Linked DNA regions of Sus scrofa. The main gene of each other region encodes a partner of the protein of the gene in region 2 in a complex. Links are inferred from orthologs where the notes say so. Each region holds a gene or a part of one and is shown on either strand. Other genes may lie near its edges.

The links. The genes of interacting proteins can lie anywhere in the genome.
Region 1: the proteins of YWHAH (region 2) and NUMB are in contact, whole or in part, in a crystal structure (PDB 5YQG), measured with the Mus musculus proteins. The link is inferred for Sus scrofa from reciprocal best matches to the Homo sapiens genes YWHAH and NUMB. Residues at the interface, in NP_035868.1 of Mus musculus: Arg57, Arg132, Tyr133, Leu177, Asn178, Val181, Glu185, Ile222, Leu225, Asn229; in NP_001129547.1 of Mus musculus: Gln274, Gly275, Ser276, Phe277.
Region 3: the proteins of YWHAH (region 2) and NEDD4L are in contact, whole or in part, in a crystal structure (PDB 7NMZ), measured with the Homo sapiens proteins. The link is inferred for Sus scrofa from reciprocal best matches to the Homo sapiens genes YWHAH and NEDD4L. Residues at the interface, in NP_003396.1 of Homo sapiens: Arg12, Glu15, Asn39, Asn43, Leu44, Ser46, Val47, Lys50, Arg57, Lys125, Arg132, Tyr133, Gly174, Leu177, Asn178, Val181, Tyr184, Glu185, Leu221, Leu225, Asp228, Asn229, Leu232, Trp233; in NP_001138439.1 of Homo sapiens: Pro444, Arg445, Ser446, Leu447, Ser448, Ser449, Pro450, Thr451, Val452, Thr453, Leu454, Ser455.

Annotation. Positions count from the first base shown.
Region 1 is NC_010449.5:96,630,887-96,635,283, reverse strand, and holds part of NUMB (protein numb homolog), read left to right. Parts: intron 1-2,825; coding exon 2,826-3,119; intron 3,120-4,397. UniProt on the Homo sapiens protein: Regulates clathrin-mediated receptor endocytosis. Plays a role in the process of neurogenesis.
Region 2 is NC_010456.5:48,542,189-48,547,151, forward strand, and holds the start of YWHAH (14-3-3 protein eta), read left to right. Parts: upstream 1-1,842; 5' UTR 1,843-2,164; coding exon 2,165-2,251; intron 2,252-4,963. UniProt on the Homo sapiens protein: Adapter protein implicated in the regulation of a large spectrum of both general and specialized signaling pathways. Binds to a large number of partners, usually by recognition of a phosphoserine or phosphothreonine motif.
Region 3 is NC_010443.5:162,440,016-162,444,412, reverse strand, and holds part of NEDD4L (E3 ubiquitin-protein ligase NEDD4-like), read left to right. Parts: intron 1-3,001; coding exon 3,002-3,063; intron 3,064-3,231; coding exon 3,232-3,334; intron 3,335-4,397. UniProt on the Homo sapiens protein: E3 ubiquitin-protein ligase that mediates the polyubiquitination of lysine and cysteine residues on target proteins and is thereby implicated in the regulation of various signaling pathways including autophagy, innate immunity or DNA repair.

The DNA.
Region 1 (4,397 bases), on a different chromosome or scaffold from region 2:
TGCTACAATGTGTGTTTATTTAAACAGTTTTCCCCAACAGGTTAATGTTTGGAAGCTATCGGGGCAAGGTTTTTCACAAAGAGAACTCTTAGCAAATGAAGACCTTCAGGACAAAGCTGAAAATCTAAACAAAGTCTTTTCCTTTAGAGTGGCTTCCGTTATGTTAAACTACCCAGGGAAGCTGAGAGTACAGTTGAAGAAGCTGCAAAGACATTTAAAAGTAAAATTGGGAAAACATGCATCCTGTAACAGATTTTTAATTCTGATGCATCTGATCTCTGTGAGGAGCAGATGCTATCAAGAACCTACATCTTGGAGTTCCCGTCATGGCTCAGTGGTTAACGAATCTGACTAGGAACCATGATGTTTCGGGTTCGATCCCTGGCCTTGCTCAGTGGGTCAAGGATCCGGTGTTGCCGTGACCTGTGGTGTAGGTCGCAGATGCAGCTCAGATCTGGCATTGCTGTGGCTGTGGTGTAGGCTGGCAGCTACAGCTTTAATTAGACCCCTAGCCTGGGAACCTCCATATGCCGCGAGTGCAGCCCTAGAAAAGACAAAAAGACCAAAAAAAAAAAAAACAAAAACAAAAACAAAACACCTACATCTTGAAGGAAAAAGTACAAGTCCCAGTTTTAAGCTGCGGAGAACCCACTGACAGTGCTACCAGGTGTAAATGCAGGCAGAGATTTCTCGGTGCTACTCTTCTTATTAGATTATTACTGTTAATTTAGTGCTTTAGGGAGAAATGTCCACAGATTTTGAGAAGCTGGCCCCTAACTCTTTTTTCCATAGCCCCATTAATTTTAATCTGTGGTTTTGTAGAGTGTTGAGTTTTTTCAGGTACACAAGGCAGCATAGCAGAACTGCCTGTGTAAGCATTCAGGTTACCCGGAGGTTCTGTTCTCTAAAGTTGAGTGGGCATATTTTAGGACTAAGTCATAGGCCTAAGGGAAAATGCTTTGCATTATTGTGTATAACTAGGGTTGAAGCCAATAAGGAAGGTTTTGGAATCAAACAGTTAGTTTAATATACATTAATTTTGCTGTTTTTTTACTATATTCTTTTCATTCTAAACCAGCCATTTTAGAGAATATCATTAATCTGGGAGTTCCTGTTGTGGCTCAGCAGTGTAAAAACCCAACATAGTTTCCATGAGGATATGGGTTCAATCCCTGGCCCTGCTCAGTGGGTTAAGGATCCAGTGTTTGCTGCAAGTTGCAACATAGGTTGAAAATGCAGCTCAGATCCTGTGTTGCTGTGGCTATGGTGTAGGCCTGCAGCTGCTGCTCCAATTCCACCCGAGAACTTCCATGTGCCGCAGCTACAGCTGTAAAAAGAAAGAAAGAAAATAAGTAAATAACACGTTAATCTAATACTGACCCAAATAGCTCTTATTTTTAAGCCAAAAAAGAGGATACAAATTTTTATTCAAAATTAAATTATTGATTGTGATTTTTTTCATCTCTTATAAATATTGGGCCAGGATACCAAAGAAAAAAATACCATGCTATTTTAATTAGAAAATTTAATATGTATAGCTCTTATTTAATGTGTTTCAGTGATTTTCAGACTGGAAGCATGTTCTTTAATGCCACGAAATAGTATTTTTTGCTACACACAGCAACTGCCAAAATGGTTGCATCCTAGCATCTACAGAGAGGATCATGAGGGGAGGAGAGCAGAGATTTACCTCAGTCAGAGTGGGACGCAGCTGGTACTCATGTGGAAATAATCTTGTATCTAAGTTTGCTCCATTTTAAAATTTTACTTAGGGTAGTTCCCACTGTGGCGCAGTGAGGAACCAAGAGGTTGCAGGTTCAATCCCTGGCCTTGCTCAGTGGGTTAAGGATCTGGCATTGCCTTGAGCTGTGGTGTAGGTCATAGACGTGGCTCAGATCCTGCGTTGCTGTGCCTCTGGCATAGGCCAGCACCTGCAGCTCTGATTCAACTCATATCCTGGGAACTTCCATATGCCTTAGGTGTGGTCCTAAAAAGACAATAAATAAGTAAAATAAAATAAAAATAAAATTTTACTTCTGTATACTTTTATTCAAATGAGCCACAAATGCATCTTGCCCATGATTTAAAGACTGCTTTATGACATTCTTTGATATCAAACTTATGCTTGTTTAGACCTTTCTGACTCTGCCACTCCTAACGACCTGTCCCCCAAACACAAAAAGACTGAAAACTGTGAACAATTATTCTTTTTTTTTTCTTTTTCTTTTTTTTTTTTTTTTTTTTTGTCTTTTTAGGGTGGCCACACCCATGGCATATGGAGGTTCCCAGGCTAGGGGTCGAATTAGAGCTGTAGCTGCCAGCCTACACCATAGCCACAGCAATGCCAAATCCTTAACCCACTGAGCGAGGCCAGGGATCGAACCTGTGTCCTCATGGATGCTAGTCAGATTCGTCTCCACTGAACCACGACAGGAATTCCTGAACAGTTATTCTTTAAAGGACCTCACATTAGGAATTCATAGGTACTGAGTTGTTTTGGGGTTTTTTTTGTTTGTTTGTTTTTTGCTGTTTTTTTGTTTTTGTTTTTTTTTTTATCTTGTTCAGAGTCTTAAGTTAAATAACTGCATGGGAATCGAAGATCTAATATTTATGTCTTAGTGGATGTACCATGTCACATGTTGTAGATTATTAAACTTTTTTTTGTCTGAAAAATAGATTTGAGCCCTGCTTCTAACCTGTCCTTTAAAAGACATAGGGAAGGAAATGTGTAAAAGGACCTGGGAGGGGTTTTGAGTTCCTCAGCAGTATAAGCTCAAATTATTTGAAGACATTGCTAAGGTCCTCTTTCTCTTGACTTTCTTGAGCTGAAACAGATAAGACAGTTGTTGGTTCATCAGTGGCCCCTGGCAACACTACCCCATCCCCATCCTCCCCCACCTCTCCCACTTTGGATGCCACTGCCTCTCTGGAGATGAACAACCCTCACGCCATCCCACGCCGGCACGCACCAATTGAACAACTTGCCCGCCAAGGCTCTTTCCGAGGATTTCCTGCTCTTAGCCAGAAGATGTCACCCTTTAAACGCCAGCTATCCCTGCGCATCAATGAGTTGCCTTCCACTATGCAGAGGAAGACTGACTTCCCAATAAAAAATGCAGGTAATGCAGCATCCGCCTAACTCACTGGGTGCTCTGGCACTGAATTCATTATCATCACTTCCAGCAAACCCTGATCCCCTCAAACTAGCCACCCCTCCTTCTGAGGCTGGTTGATGGTTGAACCTATCTTGTATCATTTCCCTTTGGGAGAAAACTGAGGTTCATGGGGAGAGGCGTGAATCGTACATTTCTTGTAAATAAATAGGTATCAGGGTCATGATGGGAATTCCTAGCCCGAGCTGCAAGGTTTGTGGCTTGTCCTGATGAAAGTCTACCTGTTTCCAGACATCAAGGGTCTTAAGTTTCCATTCTTGTTCTGTCATTTGGGACCCAGCAGGGAATTAATTTGAAAGACTTTGGAAACATATCCAGTTAAATAGCATTACCGTAGGATGTACCAAAAGAAATGGATACGTTCTCATTGTCCTTGTGGCTGGTTGGCTCCACAGGGAAGAAACTCTAAACGATCTCCTGTGTAAATCTAAGACCTGTTGTTCATCAGAGACAGTGGGCTTGCTCACAGAGAGTCATTACCTTTCACAACTGCCACACGGGCCTTTGTGTGGCCTCTATACAGCTGAGCCAGCCCCTGTAGCTCTATCCTCATCATAAGATTCGGAGCTAAAGTGTCAGGTCTGGTCAGTGCTTTTATTGGAACCTATTTTACTTCACTCTGAGACATGTTGAGCCGGGGCTGTAACAGAATATGAGGAAGCTCTGCCTCAATAGAGCACTCCCACTGGTGGTGGTACAGAGGTACAGAGAGTTAAGTTCTTTGATGGATAAAACTAGACCTAAAGAATAGTTGGACTAGATGACCACTGAGTCTTTCCACCTCTCAACCCCTGTAAAAAACGAAACTCCAGTTGCTTCAAGTACCTCATTTTTAGTTTCACTCTGGAGCAGAAGGGAAACAAAAACCACTATTCTTTTTTCACAGTTGGAACTCATGTTATAGACATTTTTCATGTTGTCACAGCTCATATACCTGGTACTTTGGAGAAAAAATGAGAGTGATGACATTGTCATAGTTGATTACAGAGAAAAGTACTGAGCACACACTGGTGCCCCTGACTTTAACCCATTTTCTGACAAGAGTTTCTGAAGGGCTCCAGAGCTTAACTCAGACCACAGCCTTGAGACCTGGTCAGAAGACAAACAGGTTACAGATACCTTTCAGAAAAATCTCACTAACTGAACATCTTGACACAAAAAGAGTACAGCAAGTTCTCAACAGAGTCACACAGGAGAGGAAATAAAGAAATCCGGGGATTTGCA
Region 2 (4,963 bases):
GGACAGTGGTGAGTCTAAGGGTCCTGCCAGCTCTGACATTCCAGGATTTCTTCTCTTCTACAGTGCCTTAAACAGTCTTTCAAGTCCAATTTTCCCAGATTGTAAAACAGAGGTTCAGAAAAGGCCCACTCTCCAGTTCCTTCTCCTTTGTTTTTTTGTTTTGTTTTGTTTTTCATCTTTTTGCCATTTCTTGGACCGCTTCCGGGCATATGGAGGTTCCCAGGCTAGGGGTCTAATCGGAGCTGTAGCTGCCAGCCTAAACCACAGCCACAGCAACTCGGGATCCTACACCACAGCTCGCGGCATCGCCGGATCATTAACCCACTGAGCAAGGGCAGGGACCGAACCTGCAACCTCATGGTTCCTAGTCGGATTCGTTAACCACTGTGCCAGGACGGGAACTCCTCCTCTCTCTCCTTTCTAATGCATCTGACTCTCCAAAGTAAGACTCCTGGCCTGAAATGTGGCTTCCATGCCTCTGGTGGTTCCCAACTACCTAGGGATGCTTCAGATCTTCAGCCTGGCATTGAAAACACTCCACAGTCTTGTTTTTTACCTCACCTCATGTCCCACTGCCCGACCTTTCTCACCATTTTGTTTTTATCTTCACTGCCAAGGCTTTGTCTTTGCAGACCCCACTCTCTCCCACCTTTTCCCTGACATTATCTGGACCAGCTTACCTCCTTTGGGGTATTCAGACATCTGCTTCTCCGAGACAGGGGCTGCGTCTTAACTCTTTTTTTTTTTTTTCTTTTTTTTCTTTTTTGTCCTCCCCTGGGCATACGGAATTCCTGGGCCAGGGATCCAGTGCTAGATCCTTAAGCCACTGTACCAGGCTGGGGATTAAACCTGCATTCCAGCCCTCCCAAGATGACCTCATTGAGCCACAGAGAGAACTGAGTGTCCTACTCATTCTGCACCTACTCTTTCCCCCAGTGTTGAGCATGCAGTAGGTGCTCAATAAAATTCTCAGAGAACCTCAGGCCCCTTCTCCTGCACTGCCCTTCGCATGGTATACTAGGTCTGGTCATGCTTTAGTTATTGGGATTTTCCTCTCTTGTCCGAGGCCCAGCCCTGGGCCTGGCACCAGGGTTCCTCAGCGTGGAACGCCAGGACTGGCTCAGTGACCAGCGGGTCCACTCTCCTCTTTGCCACTTTACAGGCCAACAGTAACCTTGAGCAACTCACACTGGTCTGGCTTTGAAAAAAGAGGCCAGCTGTACCCACTGGCCTGAGTTGTGAGCATCAGATACGATCGTGCCTGGAAAGGCCTAGCACTGGGCCAGCTCCTAGCAGGTGTGTCACGAAGGTTATCCGCCTCAGCCGGGCCGGTCAGTCCCTCCTCCCGCGTAAAGGCACAGTCTGCACAAGGCCACTCCCTAGGGTGGAGGCGCAGTGAATGAATGTGTTGTGGGGTGGGGGTGGGGGGGACGTTAGGCGGGACCGACTCTAATCTGCCAGCGCAGACCCAAGTGCTGGGTGTGGCCCTGCGAAGCCGAACGGTTAGACTGGGCGGGGGCGGGTCCAGACCGCCCGTCGGGCATGCGGCCTCCTGGCTTCCCCAAGCGCTAGTTTTATTTGCTTTGGAGTCCCTTCTCAATCTAGTGCTCTAACATGGGTTCAGAAGCACCTTTCCGGGTGGGGCCGTGACAGTGCGCTGCCAGCGGAGCAGCCATCTCCCGGCCCCTTCCCCGATCTCTGCAGTCCCCACCCCAGCGGTCCCCTCTTCACCTCCACCTCTGCGGTGGTAAAATGCAGCACTCGCACGGCGCCTGCGCGGCTTTGGGGCGGGGCGGTGGTCGCAGCTATTTATAGTAGCTGACGTCACCTTGAAATAGACCGTTAGGGCCGGCCCGCCCTTCCCCCCTCCCACTTGCGCCGCTCCGCGCCGCCCGGCCCTGCCCCTCCCACTGCGCAGGCGTCCTCCCATCCGCCCATCCCCCCGCGTGACCGCCTGTCCTCTCTCGGCGGCGTCCGCGGTGCGAGCCACAGCGCGCGAGGCGAGCCAGCGAGAGGTCGATCGGTGCTGCCTGCTGCTTGTAGCCTAGGCGGGCCGGCGAGCCAGTGCGCGTGCGCGGCGGCGGCCTCCGCGGCGACCGGGAGCGGACGCGCGGGCTAGCAAGCGAGTGGAGCTGGGCGCGAGGCGAGGCCGAGCCATAGCGACATGGGGGACCGCGAACAGCTGCTGCAGCGGGCGCGGCTGGCCGAGCAGGCGGAGCGCTACGACGACATGGCCTCCGCCATGAAGGCGGTGAGCGCGCCGGACGCCCGGGCGGCCGGCCGGGGGCCCGACGCAGGGGAAGGGTGGGCAACCAGGCGGCTGCTCCCTCCAGGCCTGGGGCGACCCCGCCGCCCCGCTGGGCGCGGCCACCCGCCCGCACACCGCGCTTCCCGCGCCCGCCGCGCGCCCCGCCATTTCCTGCGGCCGGGCCCTGGTGGGGTTTCTAGGGAGGGGGTGCGGCGGTGACCCCGCGGGCGGGCCATCTGGTGGTCGGGGGTCGCCATATCCCAGCTCGGACCACAGGTGAGGGAGGGTGCCCGTGGGAAGGTGAGGGAGTCACATTTCTCCTTCTGGATATTTCTGTCGGGCTGGGGCACCCCCTCTTTTCTCCACACCCCAACTTGTAATAAAGAATCACCTAGTGAGTGGCGCCCTGTCTCTCATGGTTTCCGCTGCCACTACCTGCAGTCGGTGTAATTCCGATCCGTTTTTGCTCCGCTCGCTGGAATCGTTCTGGTTCCATCCTCCCACGCCCGGGGTCCGCATTGTGTGCGGAGACCCCCCCCCTCCCCCCCGCAAGCCGGCGGGAGGGTGGCGGGCGTGTGGCTCCTTCCAGGTTGGATGCGGCACCCATCTGCTTGGAGACTAAAACGGGTCGTGACTCCTGGGCGGGCCGAGCCCGTGTACCTTTGCCTTGCCGAGACCCTCAGAGACCTGTCTGCAGCTCGATTTCCGGGGAAGGAGCCTTTGCCGACCACACCCTGGCAAATGCCCTGGATTAGATACCACCTGCGTGCCTGAGACTTAGGGTTGTGGCGAACTCCTCGCTAACCTCGTCTCCGCGCATTATTTCACGTTTTCTCCAAATGAACATTACTTCCCTCTGCGTCAAGGTCACACGGGTATAGCCACAGCTGCGGCCACCAACCTGCCATGTTCACCCAGTGTTCCACCTCCTGAGACCTGAAAGGATCTCCTGGGGCCCCACCCTAGACCTAAAGACTCAGAAACCCTGGGGGTGGAGCTCAGCTGCACTTGAACCAGCCCTCAAGTGGCAAGTGTTAGTAGGTTTAAGTTCAGCAATTACTGCCCTGGATTCTTTTTTTTTTTTTTTTTTTTTAGACTGCCCTGGATTCTACAGCTCATTTGCCCTTTTTCGAGCCTTGGGAGGGGATTTCTTAGAGGAAAAAACCCACAAATACAGAGGCTTCCTAAAATGTCAGAGTCATATAAAAAGCTCCTTTTAAAGCTTTCAATAGTAATATGTGAAGTATGTTGTTGAGGTCAATATTTGGGCTTATCCAGGTAAGAAGTGTACTTGAAGAGTTATCTCTTCCATGTTGTCCTTGTCACACATTGAACCAGATGTTTGGAAACCACCACTGCTGCCGCCACCTCGCATTTGTTGATTCATTGGTGATCCCAGTTTGAGCCCTTGCTTGGTGTCATGGGCTAGGTGGGAGCTTTTCATCCAGAACAGGGATGATTTAGGTTTAGGACCTGATGTCTATGTAATTCTGGGGGTCTTATAAGAAAAACAAGTGTAAGATACAGTAATATAGCAAATTTTACAGAATCTGGACTTACTGTGTGAGTGCATTTCCTTGGAAGGGGTTCTAAGCTTAATCTTCAGAATAAAGCCACTTTTGTCCACCCAGCAAGTCACACTTAAGTATGACTTTTCCCCAGTAACTGAGTGCCACTGGGATTATACTGGTTGAGGCCGCTCTTTGGACATTTTAGTGAGGCCCTTACTTATCCTGGAGTGGGACTTGAAGGCCACAGTGTTAGGAGGCTTTTGGGGAATAAAGCAGGAATGGGGCTGGAATCAACGTTGATGCAGGTTAAGGGAAGATGACTGGAAGGTAGTTCTGGAGCTATAGGCAACTTGAAATGGGAAAGGAAGAATGCAGAGATCTAACCAGAATGAAACAGTTTGTGGAGAGAAAATAATTGATTTTCTGGTCTTTATAAGCAATCTTGAAAAAAACGCTTTCCTGCAGCTACCTACTTGTGTCCACAGATTTTTCTCTGAGATGTTAAGGTAGGATTTTGCAAACAGATGGTCCCTTTTGTGTATTGGGAATATGTAATATCTGCATCTGAAATGATTGATGGGTTGGATAAGCCATTAAATATTCAATCCAAACTCTGTTATCTCAGAATTTCGATAAACCATTTCCTCAAGGTACCTCCTATTAAATAATAAGAATTTGGGGGGTCACTTTGCCTGTTTCTCCTATTAAGGAAATTTTTTTCATCCTAATGGACTACATTTATTGGAAAGGACTTGACAGGGGTCAGTGGAAAACAGTTTCTCACATTTCTACCTGTTGTTTTTTGTATGTTAAATTCTTAATGTTATGGAGAAGACTCAGTCCCCATTTCATTAATATCATAGGCCTAAAGTATAGCTTTTGGAAAGAGAATTCTGGGTAACTCTTTGGGTTTATGTGGGTTTCTCAGGACAGGTAAGTAGACTGCTTGCTCTGCCACACCTGGGTGAGGGGATGTTCTGCTGCCACCACTCTGTGACCTTGAAGCTCACATCTCTTCTGATCCTCTGACATGTAAAACTAGTAATGTTGGTGTTACTGTCAAGTGAGTTTTCAGTCTTCATCCTTCTAACTTGTTTTCTGTTTCCTTTATAATTTAAATGTTACCTAATAACATTGCCTGCCTGTACTGGCTCATGTTCCTTATGCTGTCAGCGTCACCTGGAGGACCATGTCGGTAAGGTTT
Region 3 (4,397 bases), on a different chromosome or scaffold from region 2:
ACGTTTTTTAAAAAATCCTATCATTTTCACATCTGTTTAAATTCTGTATATCATTGCCCAAAAGTTTCATGTAGTATTTTATGACTTGTCTTTAATAATTACTTAGAGACAAAAATAACTTTGACTTGTATTAACAACAGAATGATGTTTCTGACAAGTGTTTGCCTTTCGTGCCCCTGAAATTTTTCTTACTCCTTAAGTCAGTTGTATCTTCCCTGTCCTTTGAGCCTCCAGCACACTCACCCTCTACCCAGATGCAAAACCTCTGTGTCGGTGGGAAACACCCTGGGGTAGAGAGAGCTATTGTCAAACTATGAATTTATCCTGTTTAGCCAAGGCAATCAGGGTTAACTTGAGTTTCAGTTTTCCTGCAGTAAGGCGTTGCTGGGGTGGTGGTGATGTTATTTGGCACCTTAATTGTACTTGCAGGTAACTCAGATAATGAACACCCCTTTTGTAATTCTGGCTGATACCAGGGTGATGGTTCCCTCTCACGTGTGCAGAATTCCATATCATTGAGCTTAGAGGGACCTCAGGAGACCATTTATCCACTCCCTGTATTTTACAGGTGAGGCCCCTTGGGCCCAGAAAGGGAAGTGACCAGACTTTGGGTCTTCAGCATTGATTTGGTGTCATCCAGGACCAGGGGGCAGAGGGGCTCAGGCTAAATCTTGGGTGCTTTCGGCAGTTTCATCCCGGTTTCAAGTCTAGGGTCCTGATAAGGCCATTCCCCTCTACTTGCCCACAAAGTTATTTATCTCATTGCATATATGTCAGAGTAATTGCAGTTCTGCCTAAGGCAACTCATCTTTTTAAGATGTAATTGCCAGGTAACCAGAAGATTTTCTTTTGAATGCTCGTGGCCTGGGACAGGAGCTAGTGGCCTCTATTTCAGCCAGGAATACTGTTAGCATCGACCTGTTTGAGATGGCTTTCTACCAGGTATGCTCTCAGTGCTGTCCTGGGAGTCTCCCCTGCACTTTTCTCCAGGGAATAGGATCAGGCAGGAACCTGAACAGTGGCAAGAAGAATCCTGCTGTTATCTGTGAGATCACTGCCTTGTTCACACTGGAGAATCTCCAAGGAGGTGACTTTTCAGTTGTTAATGCCCTGCCTTTATTGCAGAGCACTGAGTTGACAGTAATCACAAGTGACCTAAAAAGGTAGAACTGACTGATGATGCTAATGGCCAGCATTTGTTAAGTGTGGCAGGAACCCTCGTGAGGTCTTCATATGTACCGGGTTAATCAATCATTAAACCATTAACTGATTAGTTTAATGGTCACACACAACTTCTGAGCAAGATCCTGTTATTGCCCCACTTTAAAGATGTGGATACCGAGGCACAGAGAGAAAAGGAACTTGCCCTTGGCCACATGGTTCTGTAAGTAATGAAGCCTGGACACAGACCTAGGACATCTGCCTCTTGATCTGTGTGGTGATGTCATTTCAATTATGTATGTATGGATAGTTCCATTTTCAGAGTCCCTGTAAGCTGGGTGTTTCTTTGTTTTGTTTTTTCTGTCTCATTTTACTGCCTTAGAACAGTCTAGAGAATGTAACTAACTTTCTTGACTGATGGTGAATTTTCATGGCCTCGGGGGATCAGGCAGGTAAGTTGGCTACTTATACAGGTGTTCTTGGTGCCAGGGAATGCTCTTGGCACCAAGAATACAGTGAAGACCCAACTTAAATCTCTGATCTCATGAGGTTATACTGTGCAAGTGAAGGCTGATAAAGCAGTAAAAATAAAGGAGCAATATAATTTCAGGTGGTGAATTGGGGGGACATCAATCAGGATGCTTTGATAGAGGATGATAAAGGTAGGCTAATGGTGGTGATTTAGGATGCAGTGTCTGGGGATGTGACCTGGGATCTCAGATCTAGGTGGCAAAGTGGAGACCACTGTGACCGTCCGGAGCCGGGGTGTCCAGCAGAGGGACCTGCTGGGGCAGGATTAGATGGGATGCACACAGGACCAGTGAGGTCAGGATGGGTGGAGTGAAGGGTAACTGGAGAGACAGGTTCATAGTGAGGTTATAGGTCATTAAGAACCAGATCATGTTTAACCTTGTAGGTCCACAGGAAACAATTTTCATGCAGCATATTTTAAGCAGAGGAGGAGGCTATTGAGAGTTTAAAGCAGGGAATGACATAAACGGATAATGTTTCAAATATAAATGCATACAGACACATACACTTCTGATATATAATAAATTATGCTGTGGCTTGTCTCTCTTGCTTCAAAAGTAAATATTTTACATTGTGTTCAGTTAAAGAGACTAGTATTTAAAGTTTTAATGCATGGAGTATTTTTAAATTAGTGAAATAGTAATGTTTATTTTTCTAATTTCCTACTACTGGCTTTGACCAGTTGATTTTGCACAATAAAATGAATGCTGTTTGTTGTTTTTTTGTTTTTTATGAATAGCACAAGTACATTCATAGCTTCATGAAATAAGTACCAGCAAAGACCGATTGATGATGCCACCCAGGACAGTCTCTGGAGGAGATAACATTTATTGTCTTAGGCTGATGGCGTGATATTTTAGTGTTTAAAAGTCAAGTAAAATTGCCTTCACAGATTGATCTTGTATAGTTTCCTCTTAGCTCCATTATTAGGTTTCTTCTGTCATGGTGACAAGCAGGCTCCAGTGACCACTGGTTCTCTGAAGTTAATCAGCACCATGAGATTGAGGCCGGCACCCAGCAGTTAGAAATTATACTTGGCAGTGACCGACTATAACTTTGTCAATTGTCTAAGGCTGAGGTTGGCTCCTAAAAATGGATGTTGATAGTGACATCTAGTGGATCTTGAGTAGATAAAGTTCTGTGACCTATGAAAAGGTGTCATTAATTGTCAAGTCCTGGGTGAGGAACCAACCCCATTTTGGCCGCGCCCACATCCTGAAACACAGAAACCTGTTCTCTGTGATCCAGTTTGTTGTAAATGTAAAGTGAAACTTTCTGGAGTATTGAAACTTACTTTTTCTTCCTCTAGACAGAAGACCCAACCATGGAGCGACCCTATACATTTAAGGATTTTCTCCTCAGACCAAGAAGGTGAGGCCTTAAGATGCAGATGTTCTCTATCCTTTGGCCCTTGGTTTTCTCGGAGGGAGACTTCAACTTCTCCTCCTAGTTCGTCTTTTTAAAAAGTCATCAGTATGAACCATTGTAAAGATGTAACCAAGTCCTATCCTTTATAACCAATTTTCTTCCATCATACAGTCATAAATCGCGAGTTAAGGGATTTTTGCGATTGAAGATGGCCTATATGCCCAAAAACGGAGGTCAAGATGAAGAGAACAGTGAGCAGAGAGATGAAATGGAGGTAGGCTATGGTGCTCAGGCTGTGGTCTGTTTTCTTTCCTTAAGAGCGTATTTGATATTTTACTTTACGACTTTATAATTTGGAGTTCCCTGGTGGCTCAGTGGGTTAAGGGTCTGGTAGTGTCAATGCTGTGGTGCAGTTTCCATCCCTGGCCCAGGAACTTCCACATACCAGGGGCGGACTTTATAATGTATGGAAATGAAAGTTTATAAAGCTTAAATATGAAGAAACTTAAATGTGTCCATGAATCCATGTCTTTGACAGATCTACCAATGTATTTTCAGCAAAAGACATGAACTTTTTATGTTACAGCACTCATAATTGAGGAGGTTTCTCTCTAATAAATGCTATACCCTTGTTTTGTAAACAACCCTACTGCTATGTGAAATTCTCCCCACGTATTCTCTTATTTCCTTGGACTTTTTCAGCTGTCAGTTCCTTTTAGCACTTGGAATTGCTTCAAAGTGGATAAAATGATTTAGAGACTCTCATCCACATTTCTTACTCATTTGGCCTGCAGGTGATAGCGTGCATTAGGTTAGGAAAGTTCTCCTCCAGAAATGCCATTTCAAAATTAGCCGTCCAGAGGAATTTTCTTTTGTTCCCTCCAGGCAAGGCCACCTTTTAATTTTCTAGTCACATACCTGTGCTGTGGGTCCTGTGATACCTTCCTGGCACAGGCTTTGGACGGAGCTGTTCCGTTAGACAGATTCGCTTCTGAAAATGTCTGTGTACAAGACCTCTCTCTGGCTTGTTTGCACATCTGTTTGCAGCTGTTGCATATACATGATGTGTGAATAAGGCATTATGGGCAAGTTAATCGAGCCCCCCCTCAGACCAGGAGGTCATATTTCCAGGCAGTTTTTCACGTGCAGGCTTTTGTCTCCCTCTCTGTGAGAAGCCGTCTTGAATGTTAAGATTCCATAAGCACATTCACAGGTTTTTATCTCAAATCCAAGGAATTTTTTTTAACACTCTTCCAGCCTTCCAACTACAGTGACCAATGAATTAACTGAATTTTCCAGTGACTTTACTAGGGGACGTTAGGAAGGAATACCTAATG